Linked DNA regions of Bombyx mori. The protein of the gene in region 1 purifies or fractionates together with the protein of each later gene. This does not show direct contact. Links are inferred from orthologs where the notes say so. Each region holds a gene or a part of one and is shown in the gene's direction. Other genes may lie near its edges. The genes, in order: tensin-1; dystrophin, isoforms A/C/F/G/H.

Region 1 (6,976 bases):
CGCGACCACCACGCTCGCCCACTGTCGCCAGGTACACGTGCAACTTACATTTTTATTATTTTTTTATTGCTTAGATGGGTGGACGAGCTCACAGTCCACCTGGTGTTAAGTGGTTACTGGAGCCCATAGACATCTACAACGTAAATGCGCCACCTACCTTGAGATATAAGTCCTAAGGTCTCAGTATAGTTAGTTACAACGGCTGCCCCTCCCTTCAAAGCTAAACGCATTACTGCTTCACGGCAGAAATGGGCAGGGTGGTGTTACCTACCCGTGTGGAATCACAAGAGGTCCTACCACCAGTAAAATTACAGTACATTACATTTTCGACTACATCTTCTTCTTGTCCTCATATACGTGTCCTCATGTCCTCATACGCTTATCTCGAACGGCTGTTCCCTAGATAATTGACCTTCCTTCGGATTGGTTGGGCTTGAGTTGGTATTAGACAGAAGGGACTCGGGGAAAGATGAAGTGACATGTTGTGAAAATGTTACAAGTGCATAGGAATCAGAAGAAATTAGTAATAGAAAGTAGTTAGAGAAGGTTAATATCGTAAATCTGTCGCTCTTCTGATCAATGTTTGAAGTCAGAGGTCTTGGATAGACCAAAAAATACACTACTAATTTTTAATTACGTAGAAAACAGACTTTAATGAAACAATTTTTTATGCGTTAGATAGTCATTTATCCAATTATAGTAAGAAATGGTAATGAATCTATATTTGTTGCAAGATAGAGTAATTAATTCCTTATGGTTCGATTAAATAATACTCAACAATAAATTTTTATCAGAGCGCCCAAACTGGCCAAATTCCAAAATACCTAAAACCCATTGGATTAACAACGATTAAGTTGACTAACAATATTTATTGCATGGAAACTTTGTACAGCTGCTGTTGTCGACATTTTAATAAATTAGTGTATTTGAATATTATGCAAGAATCTCTGTAGCGAGAGCGTGGCAAGGTTTCATCACAATATAATTTAGAAATCTATATATTAATACGTGAAGTAAAAACTTTGTACCGCTTTTTACGATAATTGCGCAGGCGGAGGAGAGAAGAGAAGGAGTTCAGAATGCTAATATTTTTTTTAAATTATGGATATAAAATATATAAAATCAATAAAAAAATCATTACACACACTACCATGTATTTGACACACACAAACACTGATATACATATACTCTTTTGTTTATTGTTAAAATCTGTGGTAAAATTGAGAATAGATTAATATTTTTTGTCTCTTTAATACCGTCCTCGTCGAACCCGTCGCTTGCAATCACCGTCCTAGTCGAACCTGTTGCTTACGACGAAGGGCTCGACGAGTGAATTAACCCATAGACACAGCCCACTGAGTTTCTCGCCGGATCTTCTCAGTGGGTCGCGTTTCCGAGCCGGTGGTAGATTCTGCGAAGCACTGCTCTTGCTAGAGCCAGTGTTAGCAACACTCCGGTTTGAGCCCTGTGAGCTCACCTACAAGTTAGGTGAAGCTGAATTAGCCTCTCGAGCCTATTAGCATAGGTAGGAAAAAAATCTCTTTTATGTTATTTATCTCATGTTTAAACTTGTAATTTCAATTGATTATATAGTCGAATTTCGACTACTGGGGGACCACTAGTAGTCGAATTTAGACTACTGTACCACTAGTAAAATATGAATGTTTGTATGTTTTATTAGGAAAGAGCGGGAAGGCAGTCCGGAGTCCGAATACCGCACGTACAACGGCAGCGTGGGGTCGCACTCGCGCCGCTCCAGCGTGAGCGAGCCGCACCACGTGGCGCCGGACCGCGTGCGGTTCGCGAGGGACACCAGCCACTACTGGTACAAACCCAACATCTCCAGGGACGATGGTGAGCATCGCTCGCTCCTATACTATGTTACGGATCGATCTTTGAAAATAATTATAGAAAAAATAATGCGATCAGTATTCTTTTTTTAAACTTACTGCCAGTAACCTTGAGAAGTTATTATGGCTTGACCGCCATATGACGTATGATGTATGCGAGCACACGGGTCTCAGCCTGGGAGACCTTGCTAAAATCTGCCCTAACAAGAGTAGTGGTTCACTGAATCTACCACTGAAACGGAATCGCGACCCACTAAGAAGATCCGCCGAGAAACTCAGTGAGCTGTGTCTGTGGACTAGCGTCAGAAACAATTGCTTGTTACATAGACGGGTGAATGAACTCGTGAATGCCGCCGCCGGCGTTGAGACATTTGGAAGAAGTTTCTGTGATATCTATATGATTCGAGAATGACTTAATACCAAGCGCTTGATTTGATGGTTTGCCGATTAAAGTAATAAAAATATATATATATTTAATATGGTGTGTTCAAAAGTTAATCTCATGCAGTTAACATCGAATAATTAAAATTACTAGTGGTCCCCCAGTATTCGAAATGCGACAATAATTAATTGAAATTATAAATTTGAACTTTATTCCGGTTCTATTGTCAAAGACTATTATTATACTTCTATAATCACAGATTTCGCCAAGACAAACCACCACTTACCATCAGTTGGGCCGTATGCTCGTCTGCCTACAAAGGCAATAAAAAAGAAAACAATATTAATCTATTCTCAATTTGACCACAGGCTTTAAACAATAACAATAAACACATTTTCATAAAAAGGCGTACAAATTTTTTGCTTCACGTATTAATATGTAGATATTGTTTGGGTTATCCAGCGGTGGCAGCGCTCCAGCAGCTAGAGGAGGGTTCTTTCATCGTGCGGGACTCGAACTCGTTCCCGGGCGCGTTTGGAGTGGCGGTGCGCGCGGGGGGCGGCGTGCGTCACTTCCTAGTGGAGACGGCTCCGCGCGGGGTGCGCCTGCGCGGATCGCCCGACGAGCCAGTCTTCAGCTCGCTCTCGGCACTCGTGTACCAGCACTCTGTCACACCGCTCGCGCTGCCCGTGCCACTGCGCTTGCCCGATAGGTAGCTTTATCTCTTTTTCTAGCATTGCAACCGACATCTAATGCTGTCCATTGGTATTGGCCTTCTATCCTATCTCACTTCTAACAATCTTCAACGATAATCATAGTAATCGGTAAATTCCTGAAACAACAATTTGTTTGTTCCTACCTATGCTGATAGGCTTGAGAGGCTATTTCAGCTTCACCCTAACGTGTAGGTGAGCTCTCGGGGCTCAAACCGGAGTGTTGCTAACACTGGCCCTAGCAAAAGCAGTTCTTCGCAGAATCTACTATCGGATCGGAAACGCGACCCACTGAGAAGATCCTGCGAGATATTATGTGGGCTGAAAACAACAGAAGATTCAGTAACTAAACCTAGATTCTCACACACACACAGACACAAAATTTCTTTTCGCCATGAGCCCAGCTACGTTCAATCGAGACGAGTTTATCTGTATGAGTATAATATGGCTTTTATACCGCGAAATACTTTTTTACGCATACACTCAGCGTTAACTGCGTGATCAGGCCGTGAGATCGTGGGACATAAAATTTCAATTAAACCATTGAAGTTGTGTAATACACGAACGATACTGTTGCACCAGGGATCCATGGTCAGACGGCACCCCCAACGCGGCAGCACGCGCCCTACTGGCGACCGGCGCCGCGTGCCACGTGCTGCTACTAGGCTCCGAGAACACAGAGGCTCTAACGGGACCGGCGGCCGTCAAGAGAGCCGTCGGAAATGTACTGCAGAGGAAGGTATGTCTTCCATTTGGCACAACGTTTCCGAAATGAAACTGTTAAACTATCTGCTTTCAGTAACCAAAATGAAATTAAGGGGTTAGGATATGAACAAAATTATAAATTTGCACCCACAATTTAAGATTATGTAGGTACTTCAAGTTACAAAATTACAAGAAAACTTTTTTTTTCTGGGTAAAACTAGTTACAGACAAAAGGACTTTGTATATGTCATGTACGTTTTTAAAATTATCCCTTCCATTCGATATATTTAAAAAAGATTTGTTATAGAAAACGCTATTGTTTATCAAACTCTTTGAAGTTTCGTTTTTAATTCTAAATTTAATAGGGAAACTTTAAGTTTTAGATTAGTTATTTAGACAGAGTTTTATTTTAAAATGCTCCCACAAATATATGAAATACAATAATATAATTTAATATGTTTAAATTGAACAATTAGGACATGGATATCCGACATATTGTTTGAAGCATGTAACAATAGAATATAGTAAGTGCGTGAGAGCAGACGTAGACACTAATGCGCATGCGCACTTGTCAGTACCCAGGGACGGAAAAGTTACACTTTCTTCCCTGTACAGCGGGACGAAAACCGAGCTTTCGGCGTCGGTAGGAGAAAAAACAATAAAATTATTTATTTTTGTAGTGTTGTTGAGTTTTACGAGTGTGTGATGTTTCAGAGCGCAGGTCACGTGGTCCACTTGAAGGTGTTCGGCGGCGGCATCACGCTTACGGACTCGGCGCGCAAACTGTTCTTCCGGCGCCACTACCCCGCCGCCGCCGTCTCGTATGCAGGACTCGATCCCGACGAGCGCCGGTACACACACGTAGACAACGCTACGCAAACCGAAAAGTAAGACTTTATAATACTCTCATTAACTAAAACCAAGATTCGGTCTCGTTTCGTCTTTTCGCATTAAAAGTGTACAATTTCCAAAAATATTTGAAATTGATTTAATATGCGGAATCATTTGGTATCACCAGTATTTTTCTCGTAAGTACTGTCAAAAGAGCGTAGTTTAGTTTGTTTTTTTTTTTTTGTTTACCTATGTTTTGACTACTATTAACAAAATTAATACATAATTTTATCTTACTTTAAAAGACAGATCACCGGCCGACAAATGAAAATTTTTTGAAAGTTGTTTGTATTTGAGCCACAAATATCACCAATTTATACTATTTTAAACACAAAAACACCTACATATTTGCCCTATCACATCAGAATTTTTTAAAAGAAGGAAATAGCATTTTTTTTCAAAATTTCACCAAAAAATCAATAATCATACTACAAAAAATATATTTGAACATTTACAAAGAAAACGTTGAGTCTAAACAATGCTGCAGGACTATTTAGAGTGACACCATCCACATTCACATTCCATCGACCTTGGTACCTTGTCTCCATAGTTTTTATGTCCTGATGAAACCTTTCTCCCTGCTCTTCACTGTAATCACCAAGATTATCAGGAAAAAATTCCACATGTGAATCTAAAAAGTGGAGTTTTATGCTCATATTACACCCCAATTTTTGATACTTATCCAATAAGTTTGCAACCTTATTTTTATAGTCGGGATGTTTATTATTTCCTAGAAAATTGTTGACAACATCTTTGAACGCCAGCCAAGCATCTGATTCAGTGTTATTCATTGTGGCATCAAATTTTTCATCAGCCATCAAAGATCTGAATTGCGGTCCATCAAACACTGCTTCTTTAATTTTTGCATCAGATAATCTTGGAATTTTTTTACACAGGTATTCAAAACTAGCATTGTTTTTATCCAATGCTTTAACGAACTCTTTCATCATACCGAGTTTGATATGAAGCGGAGGTAGTAAATTTTTTTCAGGACTAATTATATTTTTCGTATAACGTTTTTTGTTCCTAGTTTGAGATTTTTACGAGGATTCCATCATTTTTGAACGTAGTGCTTGTCTCGTGCTCTACTGTCCCACTCGCACAAGAAGCATGGAAATTTTGTATATAAGTAAAAAAGCTATAAAAAAAATATATATATATATATATAAGTAAAACGTAAGATTTTTTTTAAATAAACACACTAATTTCAGTAAAAAGTTTATAAACAAAGTAACTGTACAGGTTTATTTGCATGTAACCTGTTTCGAATGGGTGTGTCGTTGTTGCAACAAATATATTTCCTCACGAGAGGTCGCACGATTCGAGAAAAGAGCGCCAAAATCTAAAATTTAATTTATTTTAATCAAAAAATTTAAAATAGCTAATGTCTTAACTTTTTTAAAAACCTGATGTGATACGATAAAATGAGGTATAATTTCGTGATCAGCACTACCAAATTAGTGGAAAAAAATAATCAGAACTTGAACAAGGAAAATGATGTCGGCCAGTGATATGTAACTGGTAGAAAATAAAAAATAAATGTTGCAAAGATGATTAATATTAAAAATATCACATATTTTAAACCTTTAAAACACTCTCCTGTAAAATTAATAAGTTTTGAGATTAGATAGTATTAATGCGAGAAGACGATTTATTGTATGGGTCAGAAGGACCATCTCACGTTTTGAGAATAAGAAATGATGTGTGGGAGTCGAACGCGCTTCGACTCAATCCGATATTTTCGCCACTCATTGCCTTGTTACCCGTCAGCGCAAAACGCGCAATTAGGAGATTGACTAGATTGTCAATGTCCACTCACCTCGATTAGTCCTCTCGAGACGCCGGACCGATGGTTGGCACACTGTCCAGACCTCGACTAACATACACCATGTCGGCCATATTGAGTCTGGGCACTCAAACATGATTCAACTTGAGAACGTAACCGATTCAGTCGTTGTCATTAATAACAAAGCATAGAGCACTTTGCGTCTTTGTCATAAAGGCCAAATCGTCGTTGAGGATACCAAAAATATTTAGAAAGCAAACGAGATCGTTCCTCTTGTTCCCAGCTCGACCACAAGGAAATCAGAGTAATCTCACTTTCCAGCGCTTTCTTGTACTGACACTCTTGTTCACGCAGTGCTGGCCTCCTTGCTTTGTACAGCGGAATCATTACACCCAGCTTCGAAAATAGCAGATTTTGGTTTGACAACGACGATAAGCTCCTATCACCCTGTTTGTTTTAGACGGATATTCGCATTCGTCGCTCGGTCCGCATCAGGGCAAGACAACCAGTGCCACGTGTTCGCCGAACTCGAACCTGAGCAGCCGGCTACTGCCATCGTCAACTTTGTTAACAAGGTTTGTTTTAACAATTTTTATACTGGTGGTAGGACCTCTTGAGTCCGCCCGGGTAGGTACCACCGCCCTGCCTA
Region 2 (6,976 bases), on another chromosome or scaffold:
TGCTTCACGGCAGAAATAGGCAGGGTAGTGGTACCTACCCGTGCGAACTCACAAGAGGTCCTACCACCAGTAATTACGCAAATTACTTACGAAAATACTTAACTAAATTTAACTTGCTTCCTATAAAACCCATTACTAATGATTGGATTTCATACAAAACTTAATAAATATATATCGTATGGTTTTCCTCCAGAAAAAGAAAAGGATGAAACGAAAGAGAAGCCAGTCGAGCGAGACGCGGACGGCCAGGTCCAGTACATCGAAGCGTTCCAGTTCCTGCAGTGGCTGCAGCGCGAGCCGCAGTCCATGGTGTGGCTGCCCGTGCTGCACCGCCTGGCCGCCGCCGAGGGGGCCCGCCACCAAGCCAAGTGCAACATCTGCAAGGACTATCCTATCGTTGGGTTCAGGTAAGAGAGAGTGAGGGAGAGGGAGGGGGAGAGAGAGGGAGGGTGAGAGAGAGGGATGGTGAGAGAGAGGGATGGTGAGAGAGAGGGAGAGAGAGAGAGAGAGAGAGAGAGGACATACTTTATTGCACACCAAAACACAATTAACACTAGAAAACAGTCAACAAGCAGATACAATGGGCGGTCTTATCGCTAAAAGCGAACTTACAGTAATTCTGAAAGTAATATTCTATGACCGTACAACATATGATTTTATTCCAAGACTATTGGCTGCCAGACTAAATTGGAAACGACACAACATGACTAAATGCTAAAATACCAGAAAGTCTAACACAGCCCATACAGTCGGATGTTCCAAAAACCGACACCAAACTAATACAGTATTGTATGGTCGAGCCGAGCTAACCAGGTCCGCCCCCGCCCGCAGGTACCGCTGCCTCAAGTGCTTCAACTTCGACATGTGTCAAAAGTGCTTCTTCAACGGCCGGAAGGCCAAGAACCACAAATTGACGCATCCGATGCAGGAGTACTGCACTGCGGTGAGTGCGCACAATCAATACACGTTCATTTTTAGTGGAGACTGCAAATATATGAATCGATCCCTAGGAAGGCTTAATGTCAATCTCGCATATCTGATAAAATGTTACAGTGATAATTATAAAAAAAAGGGTGCGTGTACTTATGTACGTGCGTAAGAAGTTATACTGTATTTTTTATAATTTATTTCTTTTTTATTTATTTAAATTTTAATCAAGTTGAACATTGTATAAACATCTGAACTTTGACATCGTATAAATTCGGTAATTCTCAGTTCGGAAAGTTTACCTGCGGCTATATTCAGACTCACCAAGTTACGTCAGTCGTATTGTAATGAGCGATTTAGTGGGCAACTTCATCATAAAATTTCACTCTCATCAATTTTTATAACGCACCTAAAGAAGTATAACTTCAAAAACATTGTGTTCTTTCGCTGTACCCTGAAGACAAGAGTATTAATAAAAAACCTCTCAACATACATCTATTTACAGGATTTTATTCTTTAGCGGTGTCCTACAGATATATTAATATAACATTACTGGTGGTAGGACCTCTTGTGAGTCCGCACGGGTTGGTACCACCATCCTGCCTATTTCAGCCGTCAAGCAGCTATGCGTTTCCGTTTGAAGGGTGGGGCAGCCGTTGTAACTATACTTGAGACCGTAGAACTTATATCTCGAGGTGGGTGGCGCATTTACGTTGTAGGTGTCTACGGGCTCCGGTAACCACTTGACACCAGGTGGGCTGTGAGCTCGTCCACCGACCTAAGCAATAAAAAAAAAGTCTGTCAATTGAGCAGAACACAGAACCCCTAAAACCCTATCATTTGCTAAGCCTCTATTTCTTAGTAATTTCAAAAAAAAATGTTTCCACCCACAAAACAATTGGTCACGTCACTCTCGCTTCAGACGACGTCGGGAGAGGACGTGCGCGACTTCACGAGGGCGCTCCGCAACAAGTTCAAGTCGGCGCGCTACTTCAAGAAGCACCCCAGGGTCGGGTACTTGCCTGTACAAACCGTTTTAGAAGGTAAGAGGATAGTTTCAGTTGTTAATTTGATGTGAATAATTAATTAAAAAAACCTGATTGTATGATCTTAACTTAGGCACCTCGTTACCACTTAAGATGTAAGCTTAACGGGATCTTATCCGAAACTAGCCGTGTGCTCCGTATGCTGGTGTGAGGACGAAGACGACCTAGGTACGGTCACGCGCATCTTATAAAGGACGGCAGATTATACATGTCCTCAGTTGAGTTCTGTCTCATTAAGGGTGAGAGCAAGAACCAGACCCAACTGTTGAAAAAATTCGGTCGAGAATATTGTTCTGACGGGAACGCATTGTGACAGCCCCACCTTCCGGGGCCATATCATATTCACATGATGAATTTTTGTAATTGACAGTTTTTGTAATTCTTGGTAAATGTAATTAATGTAATAAATTTGTTTATGTGCAGGTGATGCTCTGGAGTCCCCCGCTCCCTCTCCGCAGCACGGCGCGTCCCTCGGCCCCGACATGCACTCGCGCCTCGAGCTGTACGCCACCCGCCTCGCGCAGGTCGAGCTCAGCGCCGCCGACACTCCCGACAGGTACACCTCGCCCCGCCGCGCACCGCCGCGCCCCGCCCCGCACCGCCGCGCCCCGCCGCGCCCCGCCGCGCACCGCACCGTCCCGTTCCGCTACGCCACGACCCGTCTCGTCCCGTCCCACCCCATCGCAACTTTGATCTCGCGCATCGACAGAATATTGAATATACTTTGAAGGCTATAATTACTCTTAGGTCTTCTTATCATGAAATTGAAACTAACCATTACATCCTTTACCGTTACAGCGATGAAGAACATCAGCTCATAGCTCAGTACTGCGCCTCACTGAACGGCGGAGGGGAGTCCGAAGAAGCTCCTCGCTCGCCTGTGCAAGTGGTCTCCATTATCCACCGCGAGCAGAGACACGAACTCGAGGCCATGATTAGGTACACTACACACAGACACATGCGGTTAGGGCAATGCAGTTAAACATTCCTTATCACTTTCAAAACATCTTTATTTATAGGGAACTGGAAGAAGAAAACGCAAGTCTCCAAGCGGAGTACGAGCGTCTGAAGGCTAAGCAGACTCCAGGCTCCACGCCCGAGGAGCAGCAGCACGGCGTCAGCGACAATAGCCGCAGCGGACCGGTAGACCAGGTCAGAGGAACTTATAATACAAATAATTCTGGCTTCTACAGGAGGGATGTTGATGTTGTGTCTGGCGCTACGTGACCGGACTTGGCGTAACGTGGCTTGACGTGACGTGACGTCACACATGTGTTGTGACGTCTAAGCATACAAATACTCATTTAGAATATACTAAATTGGTGCTTGTGAACCTTTCTTGATCATAGCTCTACTAACCGCGGTTCCAGTATAAAATAATAAACAGATGGTCCCAAAACAGTCCTCAGAATCTAAATATAATAATCACAAGTTGTACTTATTTATTATGATGAGCTCACGGCCCACCTGGTGTTAGCTGATCACTGGAATATACCGACAGTACAGCGTGAATGCTGTCCCCTTAAGACAGGAGTTCAAGATGTGTGTAGGGGTGTTCCGCCCTCTAATCCGTCATTCACTTAGCGTCGAATCGTCGCTATGAGTTATGAGATGACTCTACGGCACCAACTGCGGTTATGACTATAGCTCGCCCGTGCATTCATCAGTCTTCACAGCACAGTGCATACGATGAATCGGAAATATATTTCAGGACATGATGGCCGAGGCTCGTCTTCTCCGTCAGCACAAGGGCCGGCTGGAGGCTCGCATGCACATTCTGGAGGAACACAACAGACAACTCGAAGCTCAGCTGCAGCGTCTACGCACCTTACTCGACGAGGTAGGCAGTCCAGTCCCTCTCAACCTCACCCAATCTCACCCAACCTCGCTGGTAAACTAGCACGATAAAATTAATAAGCTGCCACGTGGCAATATTCGCGATGCCCGAGGACTCGTTTGCCTTTCAATAAAAAACAAAACTAAACTGTGTAAGGAACTTGAATTGTATTTCATCACTGACGTACATGGACCTCTGCCAAGTCCCGCGCTGTCTGCATCCAATGGATTTCCTTATATCACTGACATTGTTATAAACACTTCCAGCCGGCCCAGGGCTCGCCCCCAGCGCGCACCGGAACATTACAGACACGTTCGGTGACCGCTTCGCAGCTTGCAACTGATTCACCAGCCAAAATGCACAATGGACTCTACCACGAGTCACAAACAAGTATGTTCAGTAATGCTTTTAATGTTTTTAATTTGAAATATTTAGATTAAGAACTTAAAATTTCTTAGTATAAATTATAGTTTACTACTTTAAAGGTCTGATTTTTCTGTACCACTGAGTAGCGACAGAAAATCGCAGCGACTTGAGTGCTAATTAAAAACAATGGTAAAAATCTGGTAACACTTATATGTCAGTTCAAATATAAAAAAAGTAATGCTTTGAAATTCGTTTAAATAACGTCGGCCATTTTGTTGTAATGGCGTACAAGATGGCGGCGCTCGTTGGGCTGGCGCCGAGCGGCCCCCCCCGCCCCCGCACACCGTGCACTCCCTCATGCACTGCGCAGGTCAGCGGTGTCAATAATGTGTTCACACTTTTGTTTCGCTTTTTGTGCAATTGTTTTAGATTTTAAAAGATTTACGTTCAAATAACTCAAGCTTTTTAAAAAATCTAAATATAATTTGTGTTCAATGATTTCTCAATAATACAGTGGAATTGTCGAATTTTAACTAGTTTAATCATTTTGGCAATTACGATTCGTATTGTAGTAATAAGTAGTACTGTAGTAAATGCGATTCGTAGCTGTTCAAAGAAACGAAGCTTGTCACCACCTCCAAACAACGGATAATGCCGATCGGTCAAAACTCTGAACACTATGCTATCCGATTTTGCTTGAGATCCCTGTTCACATTGAGTGAATTCGTGTCAAAATATATATTTGGCATTTAATGAAAATTTCACGTACTTAAGTCATAAGTTGGGTGTTGTGAACTCAAGATTCAGCTGAAGCCGTGTGAACTGATTAAACTACAATTGCGTATAAATCTAAAATTCATTGTAATCACAATTTGGGTTTTATGCTTCCTTCGTCTGTTTTTGAAATGTTGCCAGCACAAAAATATCACGATAAATTTTAAACCTTAAAATATTTAAATTTATATTTGCTAAAATATGATGCCAGATGTAACTTTGTTTATTTGAAATCTAGGCTTGTGTTTGCATGGTTGTTGCATGTACAGAAACCTAATAGAATTAATCATTAAAAATTAATTATATCGTCATTCTCTTTGTTTTCTACTGCATTCAAAACAGGACGCATACCCTGAGGTAATCAACTTTTTTTTTTATTAAACATGGGATTTAATTATTCGGCACTAGTTCCATGGTTTTCTTTACCTTTACTTATTTCGCGTTATCTTGAATTTTACGTGAGTTTTCTATCAGGCAGTGATGAGTGGATAAAACAAATGACTATATCTAATCCCAACCTATAAGGAACCTATCTATAACCGATATGGAACTCCAAACCCTAAGGCTGACTTAGTTACGATTTAAAATGTTTGAAAAATGTTCTGTCTGTGTCGCAGCTGATTTATTCGAAACTGCGATCACTAATTTTAGTATATTATACGCAATATAAAATACAGCTTATTGAGCGAGTTATTAAGTACATAATCTTAAAATGTTATTATGGATTCTAGCATTGAAAATTAGCTTCTTAATGAAACGCAGCGGCATGGCTCTGCCCCTGGCATTGTTGAAGTCCATGGGTGACGGTAACCACTCACCACCAGGTGGGCCGTATGCTCGTCTGCCTACAAGGCAACAAAAAAAAACGCAAGATTCTGAAGACAAGGCATCGGAATTCTGTACATAACGAAAAGTACAGCCAAAAAGTTGGGAAAATAATTCGTAATTTGTTCATAATAATGCTTAAATTTGTTTACACTTTTTCAGATGACTTGGGCCGTGCCGTAGAAGAGCTCGTCTCGGTGATGTCCGAGGACTCCGGCACGCCGAGCAACGCGCCACCGCAGTACACGAACGGGAAACCGGCAAACAACGAATGAACGGCTCGAAAACGACGCGAACCTTACGCGCGCACGGTGCTTTCAATATAATGTTGCTATATTCGAAGCAATCAAACTACCGCGCCCAACGTTCTGGCAACACTGAGCATAACCAAAGATTTATTCTACAATGGTGTTGCTTTATAGAGATACCGTTTTAATTAATTTCTTGTTGGTCACAATTTCTTTTAATGATTACTAATTTTCGACTCATCACTAACAAATTGCACTGTACATTGACTGTCCTTAACTTTTATACAAAAGCTTTTTATAAAACATTCCACGCGTTTCCTAACCTGAGCTTTATGGCTTCCAGGGGATCACAAAAAAGTAGAAGCCTGTAAGTTGACAGCTATGTGGAACTAATACGAGATTTTATCTTGATTTGGTACAATACAATCCATAAAATGGCAGTCTCCTGATTAAACTAAGAAAACCATACCGTAAGAAGTTAGGACATTAATAACAATTAAGGGATATAGAGAGTGCGCCTCTTTAACTGCATTACGGAAATTAAAACTGAAAACAAACGTATTAAGATTACATTTTTATAATGAATCACTATTTGATATTTTCTGAAAATACCACAAACTTTAAATTGCGTAGTCCCATCAGTGTCTTGTATCATCTGCCGTAAAATTAAAAGTTAAATTTCAATGGAACATGTACCAAATCAAATTAGTTCACAGCAGTTGTTTGTTTTTTTTAAATATTAACGATAATCGTATGCAACGCTTATTGTATAAATAAGGGCGCGCCATTGTTGCAGTACGTATCGTGATTGAGTCGAACTATCCGCCATTTCTGTTATTTTTTATTTGACGTGGCAACTCTTTCAGATTTTCTACTATTTTCGTTGTCCCCCCCTAAAGCTAGCGCCAGTGCTGCCAGAACACAGCAATCCAACGAAAAAGACAATGTAACGA

Evidence for each region.
Region 2: the proteins of tensin-1 (region 1) and dystrophin, isoforms A/C/F/G/H purify together in Homo sapiens (affinity purification with mass spectrometry; 3 studies listed by BioGRID and IntAct, with this or other methods). This does not show direct contact. The link is inferred for Bombyx mori from reciprocal best matches to the Homo sapiens genes TNS2 and DMD.

Annotation. Positions count from the first base shown.
Region 1 is NC_085110.1:9,857,294-9,864,269, forward strand, and holds part of tensin-1, read left to right. Parts: coding exon 1-31; intron 32-1,681; coding exon 1,682-1,854; intron 1,855-2,694; coding exon 2,695-2,944; intron 2,945-3,527; coding exon 3,528-3,684; intron 3,685-4,364; coding exon 4,365-4,537; intron 4,538-6,787; coding exon 6,788-6,902; intron 6,903-6,976. UniProt on the Homo sapiens protein: Tyrosine-protein phosphatase which regulates cell motility, proliferation and muscle-response to insulin. Phosphatase activity is mediated by binding to phosphatidylinositol-3,4,5-triphosphate (PtdIns(3,4,5)P3) via the SH2 domain.
Region 2 is NC_085113.1:13,354,509-13,361,484, reverse strand, and holds part of dystrophin, isoforms A/C/F/G/H, read left to right. Parts: intron 1-193; coding exon 194-407; intron 408-831; coding exon 832-943; intron 944-1,849; coding exon 1,850-1,970; intron 1,971-2,396; coding exon 2,397-2,529; intron 2,530-2,771; coding exon 2,772-2,912; intron 2,913-2,992; coding exon 2,993-3,125; intron 3,126-3,684; coding exon 3,685-3,813; intron 3,814-4,076; coding exon 4,077-4,200; intron 4,201-4,468; coding exon 4,469-4,546; intron 4,547-5,937; coding exon 5,938-6,050; 3' UTR 6,051-6,976. UniProt on the Homo sapiens protein: Anchors the extracellular matrix to the cytoskeleton via F-actin. Ligand for dystroglycan.